7 linked regions of the Macaca fascicularis genome follow. The protein of the gene in region 1 interacts with the protein of each later gene in a biochemical or structural test. Links are inferred from orthologs where the notes say so. Each region holds a gene or a part of one and is shown in the gene's direction. Other genes may lie near its edges.

Evidence for each region.
Region 2: the proteins of HSP90AA1 (region 1) and PPP5C form a complex in vitro, tested with the Homo sapiens proteins (4 studies listed by BioGRID, with this or other methods). The link is inferred for Macaca fascicularis from reciprocal best matches to the Homo sapiens genes HSP90AA1 and PPP5C.
Region 3: the proteins of HSP90AA1 (region 1) and PTGES3 form a complex in vitro, tested with the Homo sapiens proteins (10 studies listed by BioGRID). The link is inferred for Macaca fascicularis from reciprocal best matches to the Homo sapiens genes HSP90AA1 and PTGES3.
Region 4: the proteins of HSP90AA1 (region 1) and SGTA form a complex in vitro, tested with the Homo sapiens proteins (2 studies listed by BioGRID, with this or other methods). The link is inferred for Macaca fascicularis from reciprocal best matches to the Homo sapiens genes HSP90AA1 and SGTA.
Region 5: the proteins of HSP90AA1 (region 1) and PPID form a complex in vitro, tested with the Homo sapiens proteins (2 studies listed by BioGRID). The link is inferred for Macaca fascicularis from reciprocal best matches to the Homo sapiens genes HSP90AA1 and PPID.
Region 6: the proteins of HSP90AA1 (region 1) and MAPT form a complex in vitro, tested with the Homo sapiens proteins (3 studies listed by BioGRID, with this or other methods). The link is inferred for Macaca fascicularis from reciprocal best matches to the Homo sapiens genes HSP90AA1 and MAPT.
Region 7: the proteins of HSP90AA1 (region 1) and ST13 form a complex in vitro, tested with the Homo sapiens proteins (2 studies listed by BioGRID). The link is inferred for Macaca fascicularis from reciprocal best matches to the Homo sapiens genes HSP90AA1 and ST13.

Annotation. Positions count from the first base shown.
Region 1 is NC_088381.1:170,183,732-170,187,493, reverse strand, and holds the end of HSP90AA1 (heat shock protein HSP 90-alpha), read left to right. Parts: intron 1-50; coding exon 51-241; intron 242-343; coding exon 344-491; intron 492-729; coding exon 730-998; intron 999-1,567; coding exon 1,568-1,901; intron 1,902-2,487; coding exon 2,488-2,597; 3' UTR 2,598-3,262; downstream 3,263-3,762. UniProt on the Homo sapiens protein: Molecular chaperone that promotes the maturation, structural maintenance and proper regulation of specific target proteins involved for instance in cell cycle control and signal transduction.
Region 2 is NC_088393.1:54,411,392-54,414,891, forward strand, and holds part of PPP5C (serine/threonine-protein phosphatase 5), read left to right. Parts: intron 1-2,721; coding exon 2,722-2,787; intron 2,788-3,105; coding exon 3,106-3,204; intron 3,205-3,500. UniProt on the Homo sapiens protein: Serine/threonine-protein phosphatase that dephosphorylates a myriad of proteins involved in different signaling pathways including the kinases CSNK1E, ASK1/MAP3K5, PRKDC and RAF1, the nuclear receptors NR3C1, PPARG, ESR1 and ESR2, SMAD proteins and TAU/MAPT.
Region 3 is NC_088385.1:63,477,225-63,480,724, reverse strand, and holds part of PTGES3 (prostaglandin E synthase 3), read left to right. Parts: intron 1-636; coding exon 637-735; intron 736-2,145; coding exon 2,146-2,235; intron 2,236-3,500. UniProt on the Homo sapiens protein: Cytosolic prostaglandin synthase that catalyzes the oxidoreduction of prostaglandin endoperoxide H2 (PGH2) to prostaglandin E2 (PGE2).
Region 4 is NC_088393.1:3,463,801-3,468,055, reverse strand, and holds the start of SGTA (small glutamine-rich tetratricopeptide repeat-containing protein alpha), read left to right. Parts: upstream 1-1,455; 5' UTR 1,456-1,496; intron 1,497-4,255. UniProt on the Homo sapiens protein: Co-chaperone that binds misfolded and hydrophobic patches-containing client proteins in the cytosol. Mediates their targeting to the endoplasmic reticulum but also regulates their sorting to the proteasome when targeting fails.
Region 5 is NC_088379.1:163,628,949-163,632,448, reverse strand, and holds part of PPID (peptidyl-prolyl cis-trans isomerase D), read left to right. Parts: intron 1-800; coding exon 801-907; intron 908-2,885; coding exon 2,886-3,074; intron 3,075-3,500. UniProt on the Homo sapiens protein: PPIase that catalyzes the cis-trans isomerization of proline imidic peptide bonds in oligopeptides and may therefore assist protein folding. Proposed to act as a co-chaperone in HSP90 complexes such as in unligated steroid receptors heterocomplexes.
Region 6 is NC_088390.1:67,473,557-67,477,807, forward strand, and holds the start of MAPT (microtubule-associated protein tau), read left to right. Parts: upstream 1-1,451; 5' UTR 1,452-1,584; exon of another isoform or gene 1,585-2,025; intron 2,026-2,271; exon of another isoform or gene 2,272-2,527; intron 2,528-3,037; exon of another isoform or gene 3,038-3,162; intron 3,163-4,251. UniProt on the Homo sapiens protein: Promotes microtubule assembly and stability, and might be involved in the establishment and maintenance of neuronal polarity.
Region 7 is NC_088384.1:10,804,210-10,807,709, forward strand, and holds part of ST13 (hsc70-interacting protein), read left to right. Parts: intron 1-1,732; coding exon 1,733-1,835; intron 1,836-3,437; coding exon 3,438-3,500. UniProt on the Homo sapiens protein: One HIP oligomer binds the ATPase domains of at least two HSC70 molecules dependent on activation of the HSC70 ATPase by HSP40. Stabilizes the ADP state of HSC70 that has a high affinity for substrate protein.

The DNA of each region.
Region 1 (3,762 bases):
GTTTTGTCCTTGGAATGACTCAGTGCATTTGATTTTTATATTTTTTTCAGACTTCATTAGAGGGGTGGTAGACTCAGAGGACCTCCCTCTAAATATATCCCGTGAGATGTTGCAGCAAAGCAAAATTTTGAAAGTTATCAGGAAGAATTTGGTCAAAAAATGCTTAGAACTCTTTACTGAACTGGCGGAAGATAAAGAGAACTACAAGAAGTTCTATGAGCAGTTCTCTAAAAACATAAAGGTTGGTGTAAATATTTGACCATTGGTAGTTTCCCTGCTGGCCTCTTTTTAGATTTCTTTTTGAATTCAGAGAGTCTTTAGTAAAGAACATACTTTGTTTTAGCTTGGAATACATGAAGACTCACAAAATCGGAAGAAGCTTTCAGAGCTGTTAAGGTACTACACATCTGCCTCTGGCGATGAGATGGTTTCTCTCAAGGATTACTGCACCAGAATGAAGGAAAACCAGAAACATATCTATTATATCACAGGTAGGGGGACGCTATGTTACAGTCTATACGTCGTTCTTATAACCTTGTAGGCTCTGTGGGTGTGTTTTCTACTCAGGTAGCACTGTTATAACTGGCGTTGATCTAGGCAAGATAATTAACATGAACTAGGTCATTATTTGTCTTAGGTTCTGCCTAGGTATCTGGCTAGCAAAAGTTAGAAGTAGATGAAGCCATTCTTACTGTTAAAAGGTCTAAAAGTAACTTTGTAATACCTCAGGTGAGACCAAGGACCAGGTAGCTAACTCAGCCTTTGTGGAACGTCTTCGGAAACATGGCTTAGAAGTGATCTATATGATCGAGCCCATTGATGAGTACTGTGTCCAACAGCTAAAAGAATTTGAGGGGAAGACATTAGTGTCAGTCACCAAAGAGGGCTTGGAACTTCCAGAGGATGAAGAAGAGAAAAAGAAACAGGAAGAGAAAAAAACAAAGTTTGAGAACCTCTGCAAAATCATGAAAGACATACTGGAGAAAAAAGTTGAAAAGGTATGTGAATACAGCATTTCCTGATCATTGATACCTCTAGGGTGTTTTCAAGCTTAGTCATACATGACCCATTTTTCTTTGCTTTCAACTTAAAATAGAAAACTATGTCGTGTATGGTTGGGCGTGGTGGCTCACGCCTGTAATCCCAGCACTTTGGGAGGCTGAGGCAGTGGATCACAAGGTCAGGAGATGGAGACCATCCTGGCTAACACGGTGAAACCCCGTCTCTACTAAAAATACGAAAAAATTAACCAGGCGTGGTGGCGGGCGTCTGGAGGCTGAGGCAGGAGAATCTCCTGAACCCGCAAGGCAGAGGTTGCAGTAAGCCAAGATTGCACCACTGCACCTCCAGCCTGGGTGACCAAGCAAGACTATCTCGGGGGAAAAAAAAGGTGGTGTACGTAAAACGAAATTAATTATAATCTGTGCTCTTTGACTACCTAATGCAACATTTAAGTTCTATTTAATAGTATTTCGGATCTATTGTTTGGGTTCTTCAGATTTCATTTGACAATGAAGGTTTAGGGTTTAATCTTTCTAGGCTCCTAGTCATCACTTCTTGATTACAGGTGGTTGTGTCAAACCGATTGGTGACGTCTCCATGCTGTATTGTCACAAGCACATATGGCTGGACAGCAAACATGGAGAGAATCATGAAAGCTCAAGCCCTAAGAGACAACTCAACAATGGGTTACATGGCAGCAAAGAAACACCTGGAGATAAACCCTGACCATTCCATTATTGAGACCTTAAGGCAAAAGGCAGAGGCTGATAAGAACGACAAGTCTGTGAAGGATCTGGTCATCTTGCTTTACGAAACTGCACTCCTGTCTTCTGGCTTCAGTCTGGAAGATCCCCAGACACATGCCAACAGGATCTACAGGATGATCAAACTTGGTCTGGGTAAGCCTAATACTATGTAATGTTAAAAAGGAAAGAAATAGGCCGGGTGCGTTGGCTCAAGCCTGTAATCCCAGCACTTTGGGATGCCGAGACGGGTGGATCACGAGGTCAGGAGATCGAGACCATCCTGGCTAACACGGTGAAACCCCGTCTCTACTAAAAAATACAAAAAACTAGCTGGGCGATGTGGCGGACGCCTGTAGTCCCAGCTACTCGGGAGGCTGAGGCAGGAGAATGGGGTGAACCCGAGAGGCGGAGCTTGCAGTGAGCTGAGATCCGGCCACTGCACTCCAGCCTGGGCGACAGAGCGAGACTCCGTCTCAAAAAAAAAAGGAAAGAAATACACATGACAGTGAAGAAAGTGGTAAACTTTCAGTTACCCAAACTTGGAGCACCTTGTCCTGCTTGGAGGCATTCAAGAATATTTTTTTTAGGGATAAGTAAGGTCTTATAAGAGCTAAGAAATGAAATTGAGATTTATATGCCCTGTAAATACTGTCTTGAAAGCAGGTATAAATCAGGAGTATTACACTAATAGCTGGCTTTAAGAAATCTTTCTAATACGAGGATTTTATTTTGGAAACAGGTATTGATGAAGATGATCCTACTGCTGATGATACCAGTGCAGCTGTAACTGAAGAAATGCCGCCCCTCGAAGGAGATGACGACACATCACGCATGGAAGAAGTAGACTAACCTCCGGCTGAGGGATGACTTACCTGTTCAATACTCTACAATTCTTCTGATAATATATTTTCCAGGATGTTTTTCTTTATTTTTGTTAATATTAAAAAGTCTGTATGGCATGACAACAACTACTTTAAGGGGAAGATAAGATTTCTGTCTATTTCTAAGTGATGCTGTGGTACCTTAGGCACTAAAGCAGAGCTAGTAATGCTTTTTTAGTTTCACATTGGTTTATTTTAACAGACTGGGGTAACGTGTGTTGTAAGATGTATGTAACATGATGTTAACTTTGTGGTCTACAGTGTTTAGCTATCAAGCCGGATTTCTAAGTAGACCAAATCTTGTTATTGAAGTGTTCTCGAGCTATATATACCTGGATGTTTAGAAAAGTATTTGTTACATCTTGTAGGATCTTTTTGAACTTTTCATCCCCTGTAGTTGCCAATTTTGCATGTACTAGTCCTCTAGAAATAGGTTAAACTGAAGCAACTTGATAGAAGGAACTCTCCACAGGGCTTGTTTTCCAAAGAAAAGTATTGTTTGGAGGAGCAAAGTTATAAGCCTACCTAAGCATATCATAAAGCTGTTCAAAAATAACTCAAGTCTTGTGGATGGAAATGTAGTGCTGGAGTCACATTCTGCTTAAAGTTGTAACAAATACAGATGAGTTAAAAGATGTTGTGTGACAGTGTGTCTTATTTAGGGGGAAAGGGGAATATCTGGATGACATTGGTGCCAAAATGTAAAACATGAGGTGCTAGCAGTAGACGGTTAAACACTGGCCACTCCAAGGGTTGACGTGATCTTCCCAGCATATACTCCGCAGGTGTGGGGTGGAGCACATGAAGTAGGCACAGAAAATAGCAATGCAGACGTGTATCCCCTGTCTCCGTGAGTTAACACGTGTTCTCCCCTTAGCGTCCACATTGTTTTGATGTTATTCATGGAATACCTTCTGTTCTAAATACAGTCACTTAATTTCTTGGCCTTACAGTGTCTCAAAGTTGTTTACCAAATCTACTTAAAGCTATCCTGTTTGAAATCTCTCGTTACTAATTTTCTGGTTTTTTATTGAGCCAGCTGACACCTGTAAGCAGCAGGTAACAAGCTGGTGGGAAAAAGATGGGCTGGCACAAGTCAAAGGAAAAAGTGCCAGGAGCAGTGGCTCACGCCT
Region 2 (3,500 bases), on another chromosome or scaffold:
AAATCTGTTTTTTTTTTTTTTCCATTGCCTTTTGACCTCCATTGTTTCTGTGAGAACTCAACAATCATTCATATATTTGTTCCTTATAGTCTGTTTTTTTCTTCACTGGTTTTAAGATTTTATCTTTGGTATTTAGTAGTTTGGCTTTGATGTGGTTTTTTTTTTTTTTTTTTGCATCTATCCTGTATTCACTGAGCCTTTTTGATCTGTGGGTTAATATCTTTCATTAGTTTTGGAAAGTTTTTAGCCATTATCTCTTCTTCTGTTTCTTCCCATTTCTGCTCTCCTCCGTCTGGAAAGCTAATAACATGCTTTTTAGACCATTTGATACTATTCCTTAGATTTTAATGAGTTGAATTTTTAAATTCTTTGCACGATTTTTCCTCTGTGTATTTCAGTTTGGGTAATTTCAGTTGTCCTTATGTTCACTGATTCTTTGTAACTGCTGTTAAGCCCAACAAATGAATTATTTATTTCTTATGTTGTATTTTTTATTGGTGGCATTTTCATTTAGTTTTTTTTTTTTTTAATAGACTTTTCTTCTCTGTGTCTCATGTGTTCATGCATATTGTCTACCTTTTCCACTAAGTCCTTTCACACATTTACCATGGTTATCTTAATTAAAGTCTCTGGTAGTTTCATCATCTGGTTCATCTCTGAGTCTGCTCTGTTACCAGTTCATCATGTGTCTTATAATTTTATTGTATGCCAGGCATTTTGTATAAAAGAACATTAGAGACTGAGGTAAATAAAGATTTTCCTCAGAAAATGGCACACCTAGGCTGGGCACCGTGGCTCAGGCCTGTAATCCTAGCACTTTGGGAGGCCAAGGCATGCAGATCGCTTGAGCCCAGGAGTTCAAGACCAGCCTGGGCAACTTGGAGAAACCCCATCTCTACAAAAAAAAAAAAAAATACAAAAACTAGCCAGGCATGGTGGTTGGCACCTCTAGTCCTGGCTACTTGGGAGGCTGAGGGGGGAGGATCATCTGAGCTTGGGAGGTTGAGGCTGCAGTGAACTGTGATCGAGCTACTGCACTCCAGCCTGGGTGACAGAGTGAGACCCTGTCTTAAAACAAATAAACAAGAAAACGGCACACATTTCTTCTGTTGAGCCACAAGAGGGAGGGGCTGTGTGAACCTCATCTGTAGTTTAGGGGCAACTTTTGTTGGAATTTCTTTACCACTGGCTTTAAATGTGTTCAGAGTAGAATTAGGAGTTTCCCTTCAGCAGACCTTGGGATCTTAGCCCTGGCAGAATTCCAGGGATGTCTTTATGTTTTAAAGTCGCCAGCTTTTGGAACTGTGGGAGACCTCTGGTATTCAGCCCTGCCGTCGGGCTGTGGGGCCGCTGGGGTGTTCGCTGCTCTCCACTCTCACCCCGCTCTGTACCTCAGGGGGTTTCTCTCCACCTCACTACCTCGCACCCAGCCTTCCCTGAAGCCCGTGTGAGGGAGTTGGCGGGGGCAGAGGCGGGCTGTGCTGGGGCTCCCTGGAGTCCTCATCTGTCACGCCAGTCCCCACATGGTCATGAACTTCCACTCGTTTCCCCTCACGCCCAGCCCCAGGGCATCCCGCCCGCCTGCCAAGCACCAGGATAAAAGCTGTGGGCTCCTTCCCCAAGGAAAGGCTCGTCCTGTCTGCATTTTGATTAATTTAGGTCCCTTTGCATTGCCAGCCCTCAGATGGCTTTAAATTTGATTTTGTTGCTTGCTTGGCTTGTTTTCATCTTTAGGGCGAGACAGTCTTTTGTAGCTTTTCTGCCTTCTGACTGGAAGTGGGTGCCTCCTGCATTTTCTTAACACCTTTTCCCCAGCTTATTTTGGAAACTGTCAAACCTACAGAGAGCTGAAAGAACAGTACAGTTAACATCTATCCACCCTTCACCCACATTCACCACTTGTGAACATTTTAATGCATTGACTTAATGTGTCTGTCTGCTTATATATGCATTTGTATGTGTATCCTTTTTTTTTTCCCCTAACCGATTTGAGAGTAAGTTGCAGTCATAATAACCTGGATCTCCCAAAAACAAAGGCGTCCTCTTGTATGACCACAGTTGAATTGTCCTACCTTAGAAATTCATCATTGATGCGATAATACTAAGGTAGACGGTCCACGGGCCATCCGGAAAATCTGGAAACATTGACAGATATGCATGTCATTGTCAAGGTCATCTCCAGTCTGTGAAAAATAAATCATCTGCATTTCTAGACATCCGTTAATATTTTAATTCTCCCCAGCTTTCCCTAAAACATCCTTTGTAGCTGCTTTTTAAAAATTCAGGGTCCATTGAAAGCACCAGTGTTGCCTATGACCTGCCTTTTTACCTCTTTTTACTGGAAAGTCTCACTTCTTTTTTGGGAGACTTTTATGACAGTGACATTGAGCTGTGTCCAGGCCAGTTCTTTTATAAAATGTTCTACGATCTGGATTCATGTATGTATTTCCACATGATGCTGAGTGTTTTCAGATAATTCAAGAACCAGATTTTCACATGAAACAATCGCAATGCTTCAGCACTGCACAGTCCACAGAAGCCTGCGGCTGCCTCTGGCCCCACCTGCCCCTGCTCCCCCAGGCCTCCCCTGCCCTTTTTCTTCTCTCCCTGCTTCTCCCTTGCCCTCAGCCCAGCAGCGTCTCCTGGGCAGTCCAGGCTCTCGGGGCTGGGTTGGGTAGCAGCCCCTGCAGCCGGTCCCACTGAGTCTGCCCTGCCTTCCAGATTCTGGTACAGGTCAAAGAGGTCCTCTCCAAGCTGAGCACGCTCGTGGAAACCACACTCAAAGAGGTGCGCGTTGTGGGGCAGTCGGGGGAGGGCCAGCGGGGGTGGGCTCTCTGGCTGGGGAGGGGCCACAGAGCTCAGGAACTTACGGAGCCACCTCCCTGTCTCCCTCACACCCCCACCCCTGTGCCTTTCCTCCTGAATATCCCATTTCTCTGCTGGCCTCTTGGTCTCTGTCCCACCCTCTTCGTTTGTGTCCCCTGCTTGTGTCTCTTGCATGATTCTTCTCGGTCTACTGTGAACTCTTACCCTTCCCCTCACCTCTGCCCCCTCCCCACGTCTCTCTCTGGGCCCCTCCCTCTCCGGTGGCCTCTTTTCTTTCAGACAGAGAAGATTACAGTATGCGGGGACACCCATGGCCAGTTCTATGACCTCCTCAACATATTTGAGCTCAACGGTTTACCCTCGGAGACCAACCCCTATGTATCCTTCTCGGCAGAGCCACCCTCTCCCCACCTCCACCCCCAGCCCCAGCCTCAGATCTGCAGAGGGGGAGGAGCCCCTGCCAGGGAAAAGACGTGACCTTGGAAAGGAGAGGCCTGGCCATGCTGGGGCACCAAGATGTGGGTGGAGCTGCAGGCTGGCCACGCACCCCAGGCTCCAGGCTCAGACAGGCCTGGGCCAGCACCCAGCGGCTGTAGGACCTGAGCTGGTAGCTCAGTCTCTCTGGGCCCTGGCTTGTCTTCGTCTGCCTCAGGATCGCATTTGAATGGCACCTG
Region 3 (3,500 bases), on another chromosome or scaffold:
TCTCGCTCTGTCGCCCAGGCTGGAGTGCAGTGGCCGGATCTCAGCTCACTGCAAGCTCTGCCTCCCGGGTTCACGCCATTGTCCTGCCGCAGCCTCCCAAGTAGCTGGGACTACAGGCGCCTGCTACCTTGCCTGGCTAGTTTTTTGTATTTTTCAGTAGAGACGGGGTTTCACCGTGTTAGCCAGGATGGTCTCGATCTGCTGACCTCGTGATCCGCCCGTCTCGGCCTCCCAAAGTGCTGGGATTACAGGCTTGAGCCACCATGCTGGCCCAAGAACAGAATATTTAAACCATTCTGTGGCTATATCATTTTTAGTTAAAGTTTTTAAGGTTTTATTCTGTTTACCATGTGCAGGAAAGAAAAAAATGGTATCAGGTTAAACGTGAAACTTTGTTGTAGTACAGGTTATTTCAGTAGGAAATACAAGGGAAAAAATAAAATTTTTAAAAAATGACAGTTATAGTGGTTTGGGGCAATTAGATAATTTGAAGTTTTTAGTAGTCAAGGGCATGTTTCTTTCAGAGTCCAGAGAAAATTTAGGTAAAGAAATGAAAAAGGTGAGAAATGACAAGCTACTTTCTGTCATGTAGTGATACTGGAAAGATAAATGGTATGATGGTCCTTTTGTTTTTAGGATTCCAAGCATAAAAGAACGGACAGATCAATTTTATGCTGTTTACGAAAAGGAGAATCTGGCCAGTCATGGCCAAGGTTAACAAAAGAAAGGGCAAAGGTAGGTTTCGTTTCCCTTTTTTGAAAAGTTTGATGTTTTTATTGTAGGTAATAAAAGATACACTTATTTGATGTAAGGAATATACTGCTGTGTTTTTGTTTCACAGCTAAGTATAAAGCCTCATGTTCATGTTTTTTGTCTACTCAGTTTTAACTTAATACGAAGTGTGATTAGAATATCAGTTATTAACTGGTGTAGAATCTTTTGCACTTAAGAGATAGACTTTGCATAAATTACTCAGCTATCAAATGGGAGGGGACAAAGCTTGGTGAAAAAGTAAATTAATCAACTGAAAATAGTTCTTACTAGTAAATTTGTTTTCAAAAGGTGTGTTTAACAATTTTCAGTGTTTTATTTTTCAAAACCAGGGTCTCTCTTTGTTACCCAGGCTGGAGTGCAGTGACACCATCTCGGCTCACTGCAGCCTCAGCTTCCCAGGCTCCAAGTGATCCTCCCCGCTCTGTCCCCCAAGTAGCTGGGACTGCAGGGGCATGCCACGACACCTGGCTCATTTTTGTATTTTTTGTAGAGAAGGGGTATCACAATCTTGCTCAGATTGCTCTTGAACTTCTAGGCTCAAGCGATCTCCCCACCTCAGCTTCCCAAAGTGCTGGTACTATAGGCATGAGCCACCACACTGGCCTAATTTTTTTTTTTTTTTTTTTTTAGATAGTCTCATGCCACTCATGCGAGAGTGCAGTGGTGTGAACATGGCTCACTGCAGCCTCCACCTGGGCTTAAGCGATCCTCCCACCCACCTCAGCTTCCCAAATAGCTAGGATTATAGGAATGTGCCACCACGCCCAGGAACTTTGTTTTTTTGTTTTTTCCCCAGATACAGGATACACTATTGCTCAGGCTGTCTTGAACTCCTGAAGGATTACACAACCAATCTTTCCACCGTGGCCGCCCAAAGTGTTGGGGTTACAGGTGTAAGCCACCCCATTTAGCTTAGTCTATTCTTTGTGTGCTAATTACATGCCCTCATAAAAATACAAAGTCGCAGTTCAAAAAATGTTGTTTTGCCAGGGACCAGTAGCCATGTGGTGCCTGTTGTAGTTAAAAGCGATGCTGGAGGGTGAAGTGGGAGAATTACTTGCGCCCAATTCTGGGTTGCAATGCCATATGTCAGTCAGGTAACCATGCTAAGTTAACATCAGTATGGTGGTGTCCCAGGAAGCGGGGACCACCAGGTTGCTTGAAGAGTTAACAAGACCCTTGATCAGAAATGGAGCTGATCAAAACTCACATTGATCAATAATGGGATTGCACCTGTGAATGCTTGCTGCACTCCAGCCTGGACAACACAGCAAGACTTGGTCTCTTTAGAAGAAAAGAAAATGCAGTCTTAAGGTTCATGCCAAATGCAAATTAACCTAACCTTAGGGTGATGTTTGTATTGATTTATAGCTTAATTGGCTTAGTGTCGACTTCAATAATTGGAAAGACTGGGAAGATGATTCAGATGAAGACATGTCTAATTTTGATCGTTTTTCTGAGGTAAGTTCCATTAAATGGACGTCTCCCCACTCGAAGTACACAGTACCTGTCTGTAGTCAATTTAATTTGGTTTTGGGCACATATTCATGATGCGTGTTATTTTTAAGACCATTTTAATGATTTTAAAAGGAATCAGTGTTACCTGCAAAAGTTAATGTATTAAGACTAACACAGCTAGTTTGCTAATTTCCTAATTTCATCATTGGGATTTTTTTTTTTTTTTTTTTTTTTTTTAAAGCATGATTGCAGTAGTTGACTTGGATTTTGAAGCCATAAAATAAAACTATAAACTTTTGCCGGGCGCGGTGGCTCAAGCCTGTAATCCCAGCACTTTGGGAGGCCGAGACGGGTGGATCACGAGGTCAGGAGATCGAGACCATCCTGGCTAATATGGTGAAACCCCGTCTCTACTAAAAATACAAAAAACTAGCCGGGCGAGGTGGTGGGCGCCTGTAGTCCCAGCTACTCTGGAGGCTGAAGCAGGAGAATGGCGTAAACTCGGGAGGCGGAGCTTGCAGTGAGCTGAGATCCGGCCACTGCACTCCAGCCTGGGCGACAAAGCGAGACTCCGTCTCAAAAAAAAAAAAAAACTTTTGACCAGGCGCTTTGGGAGGAGGCCAGCACTTTGGGAGGCCAAGGCTGGCGGATCACGAGGTCAGGAGATCCAGACCATACTGGCCAACATGGTGAAACCCCGTCTCTACTAAAATACAAAAAAAATAAGCTGGGCGTGGTGGCGTGTCCTTGTGGTCCCACCTACTCCTGAGGCTGAGGCATGGGAATTGCTTGAACCCTGGAGGCAGAGGTTGCAGTGAGCTGAGATCGTGCCACTGGACTCCAGTCTGGCGAAAGAGCGGGACTTGGTCTAAAAAATATGACTATAAACTTTTAAACACAAGAATCATAGGCTGGGTGCGGTGGCTTATGCCTGTAATCCCAGCACTTTGGGAAGCCGAGGCGGGTGAATCACGAGGTCAGGAGTTCCAGACCAGCCTGACCAACATGGCAAAACCTCCCCTCTACTAAAAATACAAAAATTAGCTGGGTGTGGTGGCGTGCGCCTGTAATGCCACCTACTCAGAAGGCTGAGGCAGGAGAATCGTGTGAACCCAGGAGGTGGAGGTTGCAGTAAGCCGTGATCGCTCCACTGCACTCCAGCCTGGGCGACAGAGCAAGATTCCATCTCAAAAAAAATAAATAAATAGGGCTGGGCATGTGACTCACACCTGTAATCCCAGCATTTTGGGAGGGTGAGGCAGGCGGAT
Region 4 (4,255 bases), on another chromosome or scaffold:
TTTGGAACAGTGCAGTAACCTGACCTACATCCAGTGTTGTGGGTTGAAACAAAAAACATCTGGAACCGTCTGTCTTGAACTGTTATGGCACCCAGAAAAAACAATGTACTACAATTAAACTGGCAAAAACGAAGCAACCGACCTCCTTTCCTTTTATGTTTTTTGTTTTTGTTTCGTTTTGTTTTGGAGGGACTGGACGGAGTCTCACTCTGTCGCCCAGGCTGGAGTACCATGGCGCGATCTCGGCTCACTGCAACCTCTGCCTCTCGGGTTCAAGCGATTCTCCTGCCTCAACCTCCCGAGTAGCTGGGACTACAGATGCCCGCACCACGCCCGGCTAGTTTTTGTATTTTTAGTAGAGACAGGTTTTCAGCATGTTGGCCAGGCTGGTCTCGAACTTCTGACCTCAAGTGATCTGCCCCTTGGCCTCCCAAAGTGCTGGGATTACAGGTGTCAGCCACCGCGCCCGGTCTCACCTTCTTTATTTCTGCAAAAGAAATTAAAATAATCCACGCCATTAATCGTGCATGTATTTCGAGTAGGACAACAATGAATTGGGAGAACATTTCTGTCAATTATAACTCAGATGGTGATCAGTTTTCTGTCGTCCTTGGAAATTTCTCATCTCTCATCTCTATTTTTTTTTCCATATGTCTTGAGCACACCAAGCTTTTACATTGGCCTTCATTTTTGCTGTTCCCTGTGCCTGGGGTCCGTTTGGACTTTTTCCTATCCTTGAAATCCAAATCTAAAGGATGATCTTTCCTACCCATACCATACAACTTAGCTCCCGGTGGCAATCACACCACCTTCATTTTTTTTGTAGTGTTAGCTGTGAAATTTCTTGTTTATCTACTTATGTACTAGTTTATTAGTTTATAGTTCGTCTACCCCAATGCAAAATAATGACAGTAGACACTTTGCTGGTTTTTATGACTGGTTTGCAATAAATATGGAATATTAGGCACCTGCTGCCTACTAATGTTTCTATTCTCACAAGCGTCTCATAAATTGACTGCATGAAAGAATGCATTTGTGGGTGAGTAGATGGGTGGGTGAATAAATGAACAAAGATAGCGAGCGGACAACACTGACTCCCATTCATTGCGGGGCTATGACGCTCTGGAGTCCAGGTGGCCAAACGCGGCTGCACCACGTGGCCGGCCCAGCACCACGTGGTCAGCTCGGCGACCGGCTGGAGTCAGCCACTGTTCCACCGTGCACCGCTTCGTTCCCGCCCTAGAGGGCAAACCAGCCCCGACTTCCGGCCTCCATTAGGTCGTAGAGGTCAGTTGCCCTAACGACCAGCTGGTTCCCGCCTCTACGTTGCGTCACTTCCTTCCACGCCCACCTCGATCATTAACGCGCCTGTGCAGAAGGGAAGCAACCCGGGGAGCCCTTCTTCTGCGCAGGCGTCGCGCCCGGGGGCCGGGGCCGGGCGGCTCCGCGGTGCGCAAGCGCAACCGTCGGTGGGTCGGGGATCGGTCGCCTGAGAGGTGAGTGAGGGGCACTGTGCTGAGCCTGGCGGGTGTGGGGTCTGCGACTCGGGGCTCACGGGGCCCCAGAGCCCGTAAGAGGTTGGGGATCGTGAGGCCAGGGTCAGCGCGACCCGCGGGGTCCTGTGAGTAGGCGGAGCGGAGGGGAAACTGAGGCCGGGCGGCATCGGCAGGCCCTTCGAGCCCTGATCTCCCTTCCCCGGGCCCCAGGTCCTGGAAATGCTGGTCCGCGGACTGGTGGCGAGGACGGCTGGAGGGGAAGGCGCCCCGCATGTACTGAGCGCTCGCTGGGTGTTCGCTGCCGTTCCGCTCTTACTAACTGCCTGGAAAAGTCGTCCCTGTGACTCGGGGACCCCCGTTTGTGGGGACTCAAGTCGGGGCTCTGGTCCCAGCGTCGCCAGTCCCTACCTGGGTGACCTTGCCCAGCCTCTTGGCTTCTCGGAGCCTCAGTTTTCCCGTCTGTAAAACGGGCGTTGTCAGAAGTCCCTGCCTGGGAGAATGAGAGCCGCCGCAGGGTCCAGCGGAATCTGAGAACTCCAAAGAATTAGCAGCCGTTCGTCTTATTTCATGTTTAGAGTCTTCTTCTGCATATCGTGCTAGAGGTGGGGGAAATCTGGGATTCAGAACCAGCCCACCACCACCACCCACCCGCTGTGTAAACCTGGATGAGTTGCCTTCCCTCTCTGAGCAAACCTTCTTTTTCGTAAACGAGTTGTAAAAGCAGATGTCTGGGAGGGTCATTATGAGGATAAGCCCACATTCAATGATTTGATCAGGTGCCTGGAACTTGATAAGAGAGAGCTGGCTTGAGAACAGCTGTTTTTGTTATTAGGTGGCAGAAAATTGCAGTGCAATGTGCCTCTCAGAGGTTGGATCATTGTCCCGTTTACTTTTGCTTCTGTCTCTGATTATTCGTTCTCTCTGCCTTTTCCCTCCCTTGACCAGTGTGGTTCTCAACCAGGAACAATTCTGTGCCCCAGAGATTCTTGGTGACATTTGTGCTTTTCACGATTCAGGGGACCCCCTGGTTTGGAGTCGGTGGAGGCCAGGGTTGCTGCTCAGCACCCTGCAGTGCCCAGGACGGCCCCACCCCAGAAAACGATCCAACTTTGAATGTCAATAACGCTTTAAAAACCACACCCTACCATACGGGTGGATCACCTGAGGTCAGGAGTTCGAGACCAGCCTGACCAATGTGGTGAAACCCCGTCTCTCTTGAAAATACAAAACTTAGCTGGGCATGGTGGCGTGCGCCTGTAATCCCAGCTACTCAGGAGGCTGAGGCAGAAGAATCCCTTGAACCCAGGAGGCAGAGGTTACAGAGACCCAAGATCACGCCACTGCACTCCAGCCTGGGTGACAGAGCGAGACCCTGTCAAAAAAAACCAAAAAACAAAAAAAACCTACCCTAGATCAGTGATTCTTCCCCAGCATGGGCAGCTGGGAGTGTGTGGGCCCGGGAAATGGTATACAAAGTTTTGTGTGTGCACCCAATTTTGTGTGGCGAGAAGTGGGCACTTTGGAGTTTAGCTTCTCAAGTGAGGCTGCCTGGGTTCAGAACGCCTCATTTGCATCCTCCTAGCTGGGTGGTCTTGGGTGGTTCCCATCTTTCCAAGCCTCAGTTTTTCTTCTGTGGAATGGGGATTATAAAAGTAACCACCTCAGGTGTGTGAGGATTCAACCGGGCAAGGTATCAGCTAACCAGAAGGCCAAATCCACCTCTGGCCTGTTTTTGGGAATGAAGGTTTGTGGGAACACAGCCACACTCCTTGGTTTGCATGTTACCTGTGGTTGGTTTCGAGCTAAGAAGACACAGTTGAACAGTTGCCGTAGGGACCTTAGCGCCTGCCGAGCTGAAGACAGTCTGGCCCTTTTCAGAAAAACCTCTGCTGACCCCTAAAATAAGCTATCGCATGTACAGCACTTAGCTGGGTGCCTGGAAAGCTGTAAGCGCGCCAAGGATTTGAGCTGAGGTTTATAATTAAATCTTCCTAGAAGGGTGAATGATTCCAAATGGGGGTGAGCTCTGCCCCAGATTGGACGGATCCTTGAGAGCGGCAGTCTTACTCAATTCTATGGTTGTTTTTTTGCCAAGACCCAACAGTGGCCCTGGTAGGAAGTGCTCGGTACAGGCCGAAGGCATAAAAGGGGTGGTTTGAGATAAGGTCTTGCTCTGTCGCCCAGGCTGGAGTGTAGTGGCGCAATCTCCGCTCACTGCAGCCTCGACCTCCCGGGCTCAGGCCCTCCCACCTCAGCCTCCTGAGTAGCTGGGACTACAGGTGTGCACTACCACACCCGGCTAATTTTAGTATTTTGTTGTTTTAGAGATAGGGTTTCACCGTGTTACCCAGGCTGGTCTCAAACTCCTGGGTTCAAGCGATCCTCCACCTTGGCCTCCAGAGTTCTGTGATTACAGGCGTGCCTCACTGCACCTGGCCCGTTTTCTCTTTTACTGAGGTGGAAACAGAAACCCAGAGAGAAATGGCCTCCCCATTTCAAGGAACTTGACCACGTGTCTGTGAATTTTTCAACCATCGAAGGCTTTCCTGAGTCCATAGGGTTTAGACGCTGCCAGATGCTGGCGTTCAAAGGGAAGCTGGGTCTGTCAAGAGGTAGAAAGCCTTGTAAGAGATGCTGGGCCAGAGATGGAGTTTGCAGGAATACTAGATTCTCTCCTAGAGTTGGGCAGGAGAGGTGAGCACTTGAGTTTGAGTGGCACGTACAGGGTTTGGTGTAGGCCCCACAGACGACCCCCAGCT
Region 5 (3,500 bases), on another chromosome or scaffold:
GCCCAATAAATACCTTGGGTGCTGAGTGTCTAATTGGCTTTCCTGGGCAGAGATACTGTGTACATGTTGCTGCATTTTTGTTGCTGGGGGAAGTGTGTGTTCTGTGGCACTTCATGGGAGGGAGAAAGCATAAGGAAGCTTGCATATGGATTTTTCCAGATTCAGCCTGTGTCTTCGCCCTCATCATCTCACTGTGTATCGTTACCACTGTGATCCCACCAAATACTGATTTGTGTGGGCTCTAGGGTTCTCTGAACATGAAAGCAGTCTTGGTAACCTTTGACACAAAGTGATATATTTGCTGAAAATTTTCCATTAGGGCAGTACAAATCTACTGGGAATAATTGGTCTTTATTCAGCAGACATTGTTGAGTAACTAATATGTGTACATGCACATAGTTACGAGGATGTAAAACAATACAGTTGGTGTACTTAAGGACATCATTGTTTGCTGGAAGGGGCAGATCATAATGCCGTATGTTATGTAGGCAGAGTCAAGATACTGTGGGAGAAAAATTAGGACATAGAGCTTTGGGATTTCAGTGACAGTTTTATAGGGGAGGTATCATTTGAACCGATTTTCTGAATGTTAGCGGGGATCAGGCAGGGAAAGTAGGTTGGATTCAGACGGTGAAAAGCGTGACCCATTTGAAATTGCGGGGACGGGTGGGGAAGGGCAGACAAGAGAGTGACATGACTAGAGTAATGCACTAGAAAGTTGTGTTACACACATATCCATTAGTAAGCATTGCTAAAGGCATCCATGTCTCAGTCACTAATAGCCATTTCCTTTTTTGTAGTTATTAAGAAATTTATGATTCAGGGTGGAGACTTCTCAAATCAGAATGGGACAGGTGGAGAAAGTATTTATGGTGAAAAATTTGAAGATGAAAATTTCCACTATAAGGTAATGTTATTGCTGATAAAAAGATCATTATATATCTGGAATACTTGTTGGATTAAGACACCAAAAAATGTCTCAAGTGTGCTTAGATTCTCCCATTTCTTGTAAAAGGAATCACTTTTGTAAATAACGGTTCTTTAATATGGAAAAGTTTTCATGCAGTAAAGATTTATTTAGCATTATTTCATTGTGATCCAGTTTTTATATGCTTCAGTTAAGCCAATGAGTTTTTACATGCGACCAGCATCTGGCAAAATTGTTTCCAGGAAAAATGTTTTCGTTGTTGGAAGGATGGTAACTTGTGCATCTTTATCCTTGAATTTGAAGAGCAACAAAACCATCACTAATATCCAGGATGTCAGGGGATTTGCACAATAGTAGATGTAGTTAAATGTCCAACCTCCTAAAGGACTTTAGTGGTGCCTGTGCCTTCTTATCTTCATTGTCCCAAGATGTAATGGGGGTATATTGCATCATTCAAGTTATAAGAATGGACATGTAAATACAAAAGTAAAGTGATATTTTTAGAAATAAGAAATATGAGCAAGGTTATTAGGATAATTTGAAAAAATGTCATCAGTCTTCCTGCCAGTGTCTATTGAGACTACAATTCTATGTGCAGCACTATCACTGGCACCAAAGGTTTATAAAAATGAAAGGCCTTGATGTCAAGGAATTTATAATCCTACCTCAGAGACAAGATTAAGATACATGGAATTACTGGAGGATAATAGTATATAAATAAATGCTAAATTGATTGAATAACCTTGCTTGTATGACATTGCTAATACATACTGTCTGTATACTGTAGGAGAAAGATGTGATTAATGCAGTCTGAATTATTATGGAAGTCATTGAGGAGGAATGACTGGCTACGTAGGCTGTGCAGACTGGGTCTTGCAAGGTGGCAACGTGGCTGAAATTTGGTTAGGCAGGAACCGTAGTATTGATGCAGAATTTAAAAAGGGACGTGGGTGAGGAAAGACACGTCAAGGAAATAAAGTTCTAGTTACTGTTGTACCAAAGGAAGCTACCAGAAGGATGAAAACTAAAGGTTATGTGATGATCAGGTTGATATAGAGAAAAGGGGCCTATAGACAAGATACATGGTTCTTGCTTTCTATAAACTTGGTGGCCTTAAAATCTGAATTTGATTTAGATTGAGGGGAGTAAAAGGCATTTTGGTGGGGTGGGGGGGTGTCGTGAGACATTATATAACATGAGAGTTACGGTGCGTGCACCAACAAGGAATACATTTAGAAAGCCTAGGAGATAAAGTGAAAAGGTTCAGAAATTGGGTTTCATAGATGCTTTGACAGTATTATGCCAAGGTAGAATTTTGATTTCAAGATGCATGCAGCAGTTTCTTTTGAGCACTCTCTGAAGAGTTGATTCATCTGGGATGAAAACCTAATCCAAATCCTGTATGATTTGGATTCTTTTGAGATTAGGAAAGTATCAAACTGAATGTCTTGGGTAAATTCAATATCCCATTACTGTTCCCAGTTTATTGATACGTAAAGGAAAACATACTGTAGGCATATTTATGAATTTGGAAGACTATTCAGATCTTCCCAGAAAAAAAGAGCATTCATCATAAAAAGGGCAAAATATATGACAAGAGTTTCATAATGCTGCATCTTCATTTTAAAGGTGAAGTATAAGTATCTTCTCATGGCCGGTTTAGAAATAAGCTTCCCTCGGACTATTGTTTCTGTCACCTATTTACTTTGATAAGGTTTTTTAAAGTTTAAAAAGTGATTAAGTGTGTCCCATGTTTTGTGAATTAAAGGTTGCAGTTTATAAAAAAAAGTAATTAAAAATGTCATAAGTGAAAAGTAAAAGAGAGTACAGTTTGATCTAAATGGTAGTATAGTGCACCTCAGTTTTATGTTCAGTAAAAGAACAGTTCAGACTAACACACGATTCAGAAAGAACACATCTAACCTTGGTTTTCTTTTAATGATTTTTATTTCTACAGCATGATCGGGAGGGTTTACTGAGCATGGCAAACGCAGGCCGCAACACAAATGGTTCTCAGTTTTTTATCACAACAGTTCCAACTCCTCATTTGGATGGGAAACATGTGGTGTTTGGCCAAGTAATTAAAGGAATAGGAGTGACAAGGATATTGGAAAATGTGGAAGTGAAAGGTGAAAAACCTGCTAAAGTAAGTAAAAAGTTACAGTGAAACGCACTTATTATCTTAGTTGCTATCTTTTTTTTTTTTTTTGAGGTGGAGTCTCGCTCTGTTACAGGCTGGAGTGCAGTGGTGCAATCTTGGCTCACTGCAGCCTCTGCCTCCTGGGCTTAAGCTATTCTCCTGCCTCAGCCTCCAGAGTAGCAGGGATTACAGGTGCACGCTACCACACCTGGCTAATTTTTTTTGTATTTTTAATAGAGACGGGGTTTCACCATGTTGGCCAGGCTGGTCTCGAACTCCTGACCTTGTGATCCGCCCACCTCGGCCTCCCAAAGTGCCGGGATTACAGGCATGAGCCACCGTGCCCAGCTTATTAGTTGCAATATTAAAGAAATGTAAGTAAAAGGATCAGTGATTATTAGCTGGAAAAATGTTACAATAATTTTGGGTATA
Region 6 (4,251 bases), on another chromosome or scaffold:
AGGAGTTCAAGGTTGCCATGAGCTATGACTGTGCCACTGCACTCCAGCCTGAGCAAGACCTTGTCTCCAAAAAAAGGTCAATTCCATTGACTTTTCTAAGGTGTACACCATCAAGGGGCAGTTCCATCCCCAGGCCATTGGCTCATGAGACATTCTGAAGTCAGAAGGCTAGGGCAGATCGCTTTCAGCAAGCCCCCACGGTGGTTCTCACTCCTACTTCTTTGGATATATGCCCCTCTGTTTAAAAATAAAGTTAATATGGATAAAAAAAAAAAGAAAGAAAGAAAAAGGTCAGTTCCAGAAACTCAGTGTGAATAAAGCATTTTACTTGCTTTTTCTATTAATCTATAACATATGTTGGTTTTTAAAAAATAATGTAAGAACCATGCAAATTGGAGCTTCAAGACAACTTCCCATCTCCCTAGGAGGAGACGGCTGCCCTAAACCCCCATACATAGAAATCCGCCCACTGCCAGGGCTTAAATTTGACGTTGGGGAAATGAAAAATCCAAGCTAAGGCCGAAGCTTGGGGCCTGGGTGACCAGTAGAATGAGGACCACTGGTCAGTTTCAGGCTGAGATGCCTCTTCCAGGGGACAATCTCCAGCTGGCCCTTAAACATTCAGACTTCAAACTCTACTTACAGCATAAAGATGTTTCAAAAGACGTGATACAAATAACTGTGTGTGCAAATGTTCTGCGATGTGTTAAGCACTATTTCAATTTGGTCTAATTTAAGATTTCTTTTCTAGCGTCACGGTTACATACATCATAGATCCAAATACTTTTTTTTAAAGTACAGTTCTACTGTATTGTAACTGAGTTAGCTTGCTTTAAGTGAATTTGTTAAGGAAAGGATTCACCTTGGTCAGTAACAAAAAAGATGGGAAAAAAGCAAGGAGAAAGGAAGCAGCCTGGGGAAAAGCGACCTTAGCCAGGGGGGCGATTTCGGGACTCGGAGGGTCGGGGTGGGCGGACTGGGGAGCTGGCCACGTGGAAGGTCGCTCAGGACCTCTCCAGGAGAGGACACCGCCTCAGGCTGACTGAAAGGAAAGGGGCAGGGGACCCACTGGCGGAGTCACTGGCCTTGCCCCGACCCCGCAGGGCCCGAAGGAAGACACCCACCCCTCCAACGAGACAAAGGCTCCAGCTATGGGAGGCGGAGAGTGCGCGTGCGCCATGGAACGCGCGTGCGCGCTGCGGTCAGCGCCGCGGCCTGAGGCGTAGGGGGAGGGGCACCGGGAAAGGGCAGCGCCGAGAGGAACCAGCCGGGAGGCGCCGGACAGCCGAGCGGCAGGGCGCTCGCGCGCGCCCACTGGTGGCCGGAGGAGAAGGCTCCCGCGGAGGCCGGGCTGCCCGCCCCCTCCCCTGGGGAGGCTCGCGCTCCCGCTGCTCGCGCCTGCGCCGCCTGCCGGCCTCGGGAACGCGCCCTCTTCGCCGGCGCGCGCCCTCGCAGTCACCGCCACCCACCAGCTCCGGCACCAACAGCAGCGCCGCTGCCACCGCCCACCTTCTGCCGCCGCCACCACAGCCACCTTCTCCTCCTCCGCTGTCCTCTCCCGTCCTCGCCTCTGTCGACTATCAGGTAAGCGCCGCGGCTCCGAAATCTGCCTCGCCGTCCGCCCCTGTGCACCCCTGCGCCGCCGCCCCTCGCCCTCAGCCTCCACAGACTGGGGCTTCGTGCGCCGGGCATCGGTCGGGGCGACCGCAGGGCCCCTCCTTGCCTCCCCTGCTCGGGGGCTGGGGCCAGGGCGGCCTGGAAAGGGACGTGAGCAAGGGATGCACGCACGCCTGAGTGCGCGCGTGTGTGTGTGCTGGAGGGTCTTCACCCGCTTCGCGCCGACCCCAGGTGGAGGCCGTGCCGGCAGGGTGGGGCGCGGCGGCGGTGACTTGGGGGAGGGGGCTGCCCTTCACTCTCGACCGCAGTCTTTTGCCGCAATGGGCGTGCGTGGGGGGGAGGGGTCCGATAACGACCCCCGAAACCGAACCTGAAATCCGCTGTCCCTGCCGCTGTTCGCCATCAGCCCTAAGGAAGATGTGGATCGGGTTCTAGAAAAGATGACTGACTCCCTGCACGCCCCTCCCTTTACCTCCCGAGCAGTGATTCCGACAGGGCCTTCACTGCCCCTGATTTTAGGCGGGGGCCGGCCCCCTCCCCTTTTCCTCCTTCAGAAACCCGTAGGGGACATTTGGGGGCTGGGAGGAATCGAGGAGATGGGGAGGGGTCCAGGCGCTGTCACTTTAGTTGCCCTTCCCCCTGCGCACGCCTGGCACAGAGACGCGAGCAGCGCCGTGCCTGAGAACAGTGCGAGGATCCCAGTGTGCACGCTCGCAAAGGCAGGGGTCACCTGGCCTGGCGATGTGGACGGAGTCGGCGGCCGCCGGTCCCCGCTCGCGGGCAGGCACAGCAGCAGCCATGCACTGACGGGCGCGGGGCTGCAGGTGCATCTCGGGGCGGGTTTCTTTCTCAGCGCTCCGCGCGCAGGGTGCCCGGCGTGTGCGCTCCCTGCCGGAGGCGCGGGGCTGGCGCGCAGGGCTCGCCCCTCACTGCGGCAGTGGGTGTGGATCCTGGTGGGCGAGGAGGGGGGAGGATAGGCTGTGCCTCCTCCCACTCCCGAGGTGCCATCTTTTTTCGGCGTGTCACGTCTTTACGGTGCCATGCCAAACCGGGTGGCCGGGCTTCGTAGGACAGGGCGGGGCCTGGCATTAAAGGGAGGGGGACAATCAGCGCTGAAATCTTGGCGTTTTGCTGCTGCGGGCGTGAGCGCTGGGGGCGTTCACCCAGCACCTTCTTCGGGGGCTCTTTGCTTTGTCTGTAGAGGTTACGTGATCTGCGCTCCCAGCCCTGGTTTCTGGCTTTTATTCTGAGGGTGTTTAGCCAACCTCCCCCCACCCCCAAGCACCTCTTTCCTTTTTCGTTCCTCATTTCCGAGCCCATTGTTGGATCTCGAGGCTTGCTGGGGTCGACGAACCCGAGTCAACCCCCCGACCCCCGGCACGCATGGAACGGGCGTGACCGCGCGCAGCCTCGTCTCGGAGTCTGCGGGCGCCAGGAAGCTTCTGAAGGGATGGGATTCGAGTCTCCGTGCTGCGCTGCGGGCGGCGGCAGAGGGATCACGCCCCTCCCAACACCCCGAGTGTCCTGAGGGCCAAGCCACACCAGGTTGCCCAACGAGGGACGCTGGCTACCCATTCGGGGATGGGTGGGGAGCCCCGGTGGGGCCTCTCCAGCTTTACGCCCTGTTGCTTCGCCTGGCGGGAGAATGTGAGGAGGGGGCATAAGGTTACTGGTGCTGCGGCCACACCCATTTTTCTGAGCCCACTGGAGGGGGCACAGAGGGGGAATTGCCATGGGAACCACAGGCGTCCGGAGAGGGGACCTTGGGGCTGGCCCCACCCCTTCCCTGGGGAGATTGGGGACCCTGGGGTAGGCGGGGCCGCGCCCAGTTGGCCTCCTGGAGGACACGGGAGGAAGCCCCCAACCCCTGCACCTGAGACTCTAATTGGCCTCTGGCGGCCGCAGATAGGCAGCCCTTGGGTGTATTTTTATTAATATTATGTCTGTACTGATTAATATTATTTATCGTAAATGCGGGATTTCACCCGTATCCAAGTTCACCGTACCCCCAAAACCGAGTCTGGGGCTGCAAGGAGAACTCCTGGCCAAGGCATCCGAGCCTCGCCCTCCTGTGATGAACCTGGTACGCGCCGTTTTCTGGTTAATTCTATCGCTGAAAACTGGTGCGGGGGGGCGCACTTCTGAGACGAACGAGCATCTAGGAGCTGAATCCTCCACGCGGGCTGCCCAGGTTGATCTGAATTTCCGGGGAATGGCTTGACTGGGGAACTAGAGCCCGCCCGGGACCAGGCTGACCTTCCTCGACGGTGGCGTCGAGGGCTGGAGCCTGAGTGCTGCGAGGCTTCCCGCATGGCTGAGCCACCGCGAGGGGTTGCAGAGCGGCTCAGGGGTCAGTTCAAGCATCTTCTCTCCTCCCTCGCCCCCAGACAGAGCTGGGCGCGGGATTCCGGTTCCAGATGGAGTGAGGGTCTCGGGACGGCCCTGGAAAAGGGGAGCCCACGGTCAAGGCTGCCTATTGCCATCTCGAGCAGAGATGTCACCTGCTGCCGTTGGAGGAAAGGGAGCCCGGTGGGGATGAGCGCATTTAGCCCAATGCTGGGAACAAAGCACAATCCGCGCTTCTGCGATTTCGCTCCATTTTGAAATGTGTTGGCGCTTTGGTTGGGCCACTGC
Region 7 (3,500 bases), on another chromosome or scaffold:
TTACTACAGTGCTATGATATACATAAAACTGTTTCAGAATTATAATACCTTAAAAACAGTATATGCCCTAAGTAAAGTTTGAAGGTTTTTTTGGAAGTTTTTGTTTTGCTTTGTCTTTTGTTTTTAGACAGAGTCTCACTCTGTCACCCAGGCTGGAGTGCAGTGGTGCGATCTTGGCTCACTGCAACTTTCGCCTCCCAGGTTCAAGTGATTCTCCTGCCTCAGCCAGCCTCCTGAGTAGCTGGGATTACTTACAGTCATGCCCCACCATGCCCAGCTAATGTTTTGTATTTTTGGTAGAAAGGGGGTTTAGCCCATTGGCCAGGATATTCTCAAACTCCTGGCCTCAAGTGATCTGCCCTCCTTTCCCTCCCAAAACATTAGGATTACAGGCATGACCCAAGGATGTTCTTATTCTTAGAATATATATCCCACTTGAAATATACAGTCAAGATAACGGTATGAAAAGTTACTTGAATTTGTTTTTTCTGTGTAGCTTATGTTGTTAATAAAATACACAGTTTTTTGTTTTTTGTTTTGAGGAGTTTTGCTCTTTCACCCTGGCTGGAGTAAAGTGCAATCTCGGCTCACTGCACCCCCTTCACTCCGCCCCGGGCTCAAGCGGTTCTCCTGCCTCAGCCTCGCTAGTAGCTGGGATTACAGGTGTGCACTACCATGTCTGGCAAATTTTTTATTTTAGAGATGGGGTTTTGCCACGTTGGCCAGGCTGGTCTTGAACTCCTGACCTCAGGTGATTCACCAGCCTCAGCCTCCCAGAGTGCTAGGATAACAGGCATGAGCCATTGCGCCTAGCCATAGCTTATTTCTGTTTTTTTTTTTTTGAGATGGAGTCTTCCTCTGTCACCCAGGATAGAGTGCAGTGGTGTGATCTTGGCTCACTGCAAGCTCCGCCTCCCGGGTTCATGCCATTCTCCTGCCTCAGCCTTCCGAGTAGCGAGGACTACAGGTGTCTGCCACCACGGCTGGCTAATTTTTTGTATTTTTAGTAGAGACAAGGTTTCACCATGTTAGCCAGGATGGTCTTGATCTCCTGACCTCGCGATCTGTCCGCCTCAGCTTCCCAAAGTGCTGGGATTACAGACATGAGCCACCGCACCCAGCCACACAGCTTATTTGTTTGTATTGAGGTTTAGGATTTGCTTTATTTCCATTTTTCTGATTTTATTTTTTGAGTATGTAAAGCATTTAAATGTTTGAAGAGTTACACCTGAGTTAAAAGGTATACCCAGAGAATTGTCAATTTCCGTTGCTGTCTCCTGTACCCCATTCTCACCTACCCCCACCAATCTGTAGTTTCTGGCTTACCTGTTCTGTGTTTTTCATAAAGCCTGTACACGTGTATTATTTTCTCTCCTGTCTTACATAGAAGGTAGCTAAAAGCTAACACATTATGTTAGTCCTGGTTTGGGTGAGTTGAAAGTTACTGCTCTATATACTTTTTAGAAAATTTTATGATACTCTAAATTAAGAAAAATTTTGTTTTTTAGCTTTTAGTAGGAGATCAGCTTTAAATAGAGGAAATTTAAATGTTTTTATAGAGTTAACTAAAGTGGGATATAGTAACTGAATTGGTTGGTGAAAGTTTATAGTTAATATTTAACTTAAGCCTGTTTTAGAACAATCTTTTTTTTTTTTTAAGGAAAAAAAGATACCATGCCACATAGGTGAATATGTATAAAAGGCTCCTAAAATGAGTGTAAATCTGTTTCAGACTTCTAGGCCACTGGGAAGAAGCAGCCCATGATCTTGCCCTTGCCTGTAAATTGGATTATGATGAAGATGCTAGTGCAATGCTGAAAGAAGTTCAACCTAGGGTATGTTAAAGTAGAGAAAGGAAAGTCATTAGTTTAATACTCCATCGCTCGAGTGCTTAGCCCCTGACAGCTGTAATTCATCTGAAAAATAGGCAAAGAAACTATCGGAAGATATAATCTGTAATTGCTGAAGTTTGTGCTCAACTCTGGAGATCTCATTAGGTTTTCATGCTTTCATTTCTCATGCATTATTAGAGCAAACTCTGTTACTTTGGAAGCTTGCAGTGGAATTATAACCAGAAAATTAGAAAAGAGGGTATCAGGTTTACAACAAGGAAACAAATAGAAAATCTATAATTAGCATTACCCAAGATTGAATCTGATGTGTCCTTAGATATCATAGGTGTATACAGCCACTTTATAAAGCAAGAAGCCTTGTGGAAGTTAAGAAGTTTCAGTCTTCCGGCCGGGCGCAGTGCCTCACGCCTGTAATCCCAACACTTTGGGAGGCCAAGGCGGGTGGATCATGAGGTCAGAAGTTCAAGACCAGCCTGGCCAACATAGTGAAACCCTGTGTCTCCTAAACACAAAAAATTAGCCGGGTGTGGTGGCACGCGCCTGTAATCCCAGCTACTTGGGAGGCTGAGGCAGGAGAATCACTTGAACCTGGGAGGTGGAAGGTTGCAGTGAGCTAAGATCAGGCCACTGCACTCCAGCCTGGGTGACAGAGCGAAGCTGTCTTAATAAAACAAAGAATTTTCAATCTTTAAAAAATAATAATATTGAATCCCAAAGGTAGAACATTCCAGCTTTTAAGGATGATTTTTCTCTGAAATTGTTGGTTAAGATAATATTAATGTGTTTACATGGTAAATCTTTCATTCTGTGGGAAGTTCAACTGTCAGGAATTTACTTTGAGATTTTAAGATAGTGGAAATTGTATTGAATTTAATTATTTACTGCCAGAGAGTTCATTTGGTTTTCTGTTTTCTTCTTAAAATAGGGCAAAGTTGTAACTTTGTCAGCAAAGTATAAACAAGCTAAAGTGACAGTTGAATATGAATCTCTTAAATTTACTTTATTCTCTGAGGAAATAACAGATCCAGAGCATTTATTTGATACTACTAACTAGTGTCTGGTACACATATTTACATTTTCCCCTCTTAATCCCTATAGCAATTTGATAAGACTAAATATTTCTTCCTCTCCTATTTTATGGATACAGAAGCTTAAATATACTGTGACATATACTTGGTGTATGTGTTCCCAGTCTTTGCCTTCCCAGGGTTGACATCCGTAATGATACTCTTTCCACTGATCTCAGCTGTCCTTCTGAAACCTAAACACTGTATCTGGTAGAAACTAGCAGGCAAGAATTGTCATGCACTTAGAAACCTATTTGTTAATCTTTGAGCTTAATTGTTTGAGATTGTAACATTTCTAACTTCAAATCCCAGGCCCCTTTACTCTGTTTTACAGTGCCTCGTGCAGTTGAGGTTGGTTTTGTTAAAGCCTGAGCTTGTGTTAGGTCTTTTTCTACAAGACAAATCTGTCATTTTTCTGAACTGCATGTTGAATTAAACATCTCTCCACAAAAAATATTTGTGTTGATGTTATTCAGCTTTTGGAGCAGACTTATTTTGCTATGGCTCTTTTTTCTAGGCACAGAAAATTGCGGAACATCGGAGAAAGTATGAGCGAAAACGTGAAGAGCGAGAGATCAAA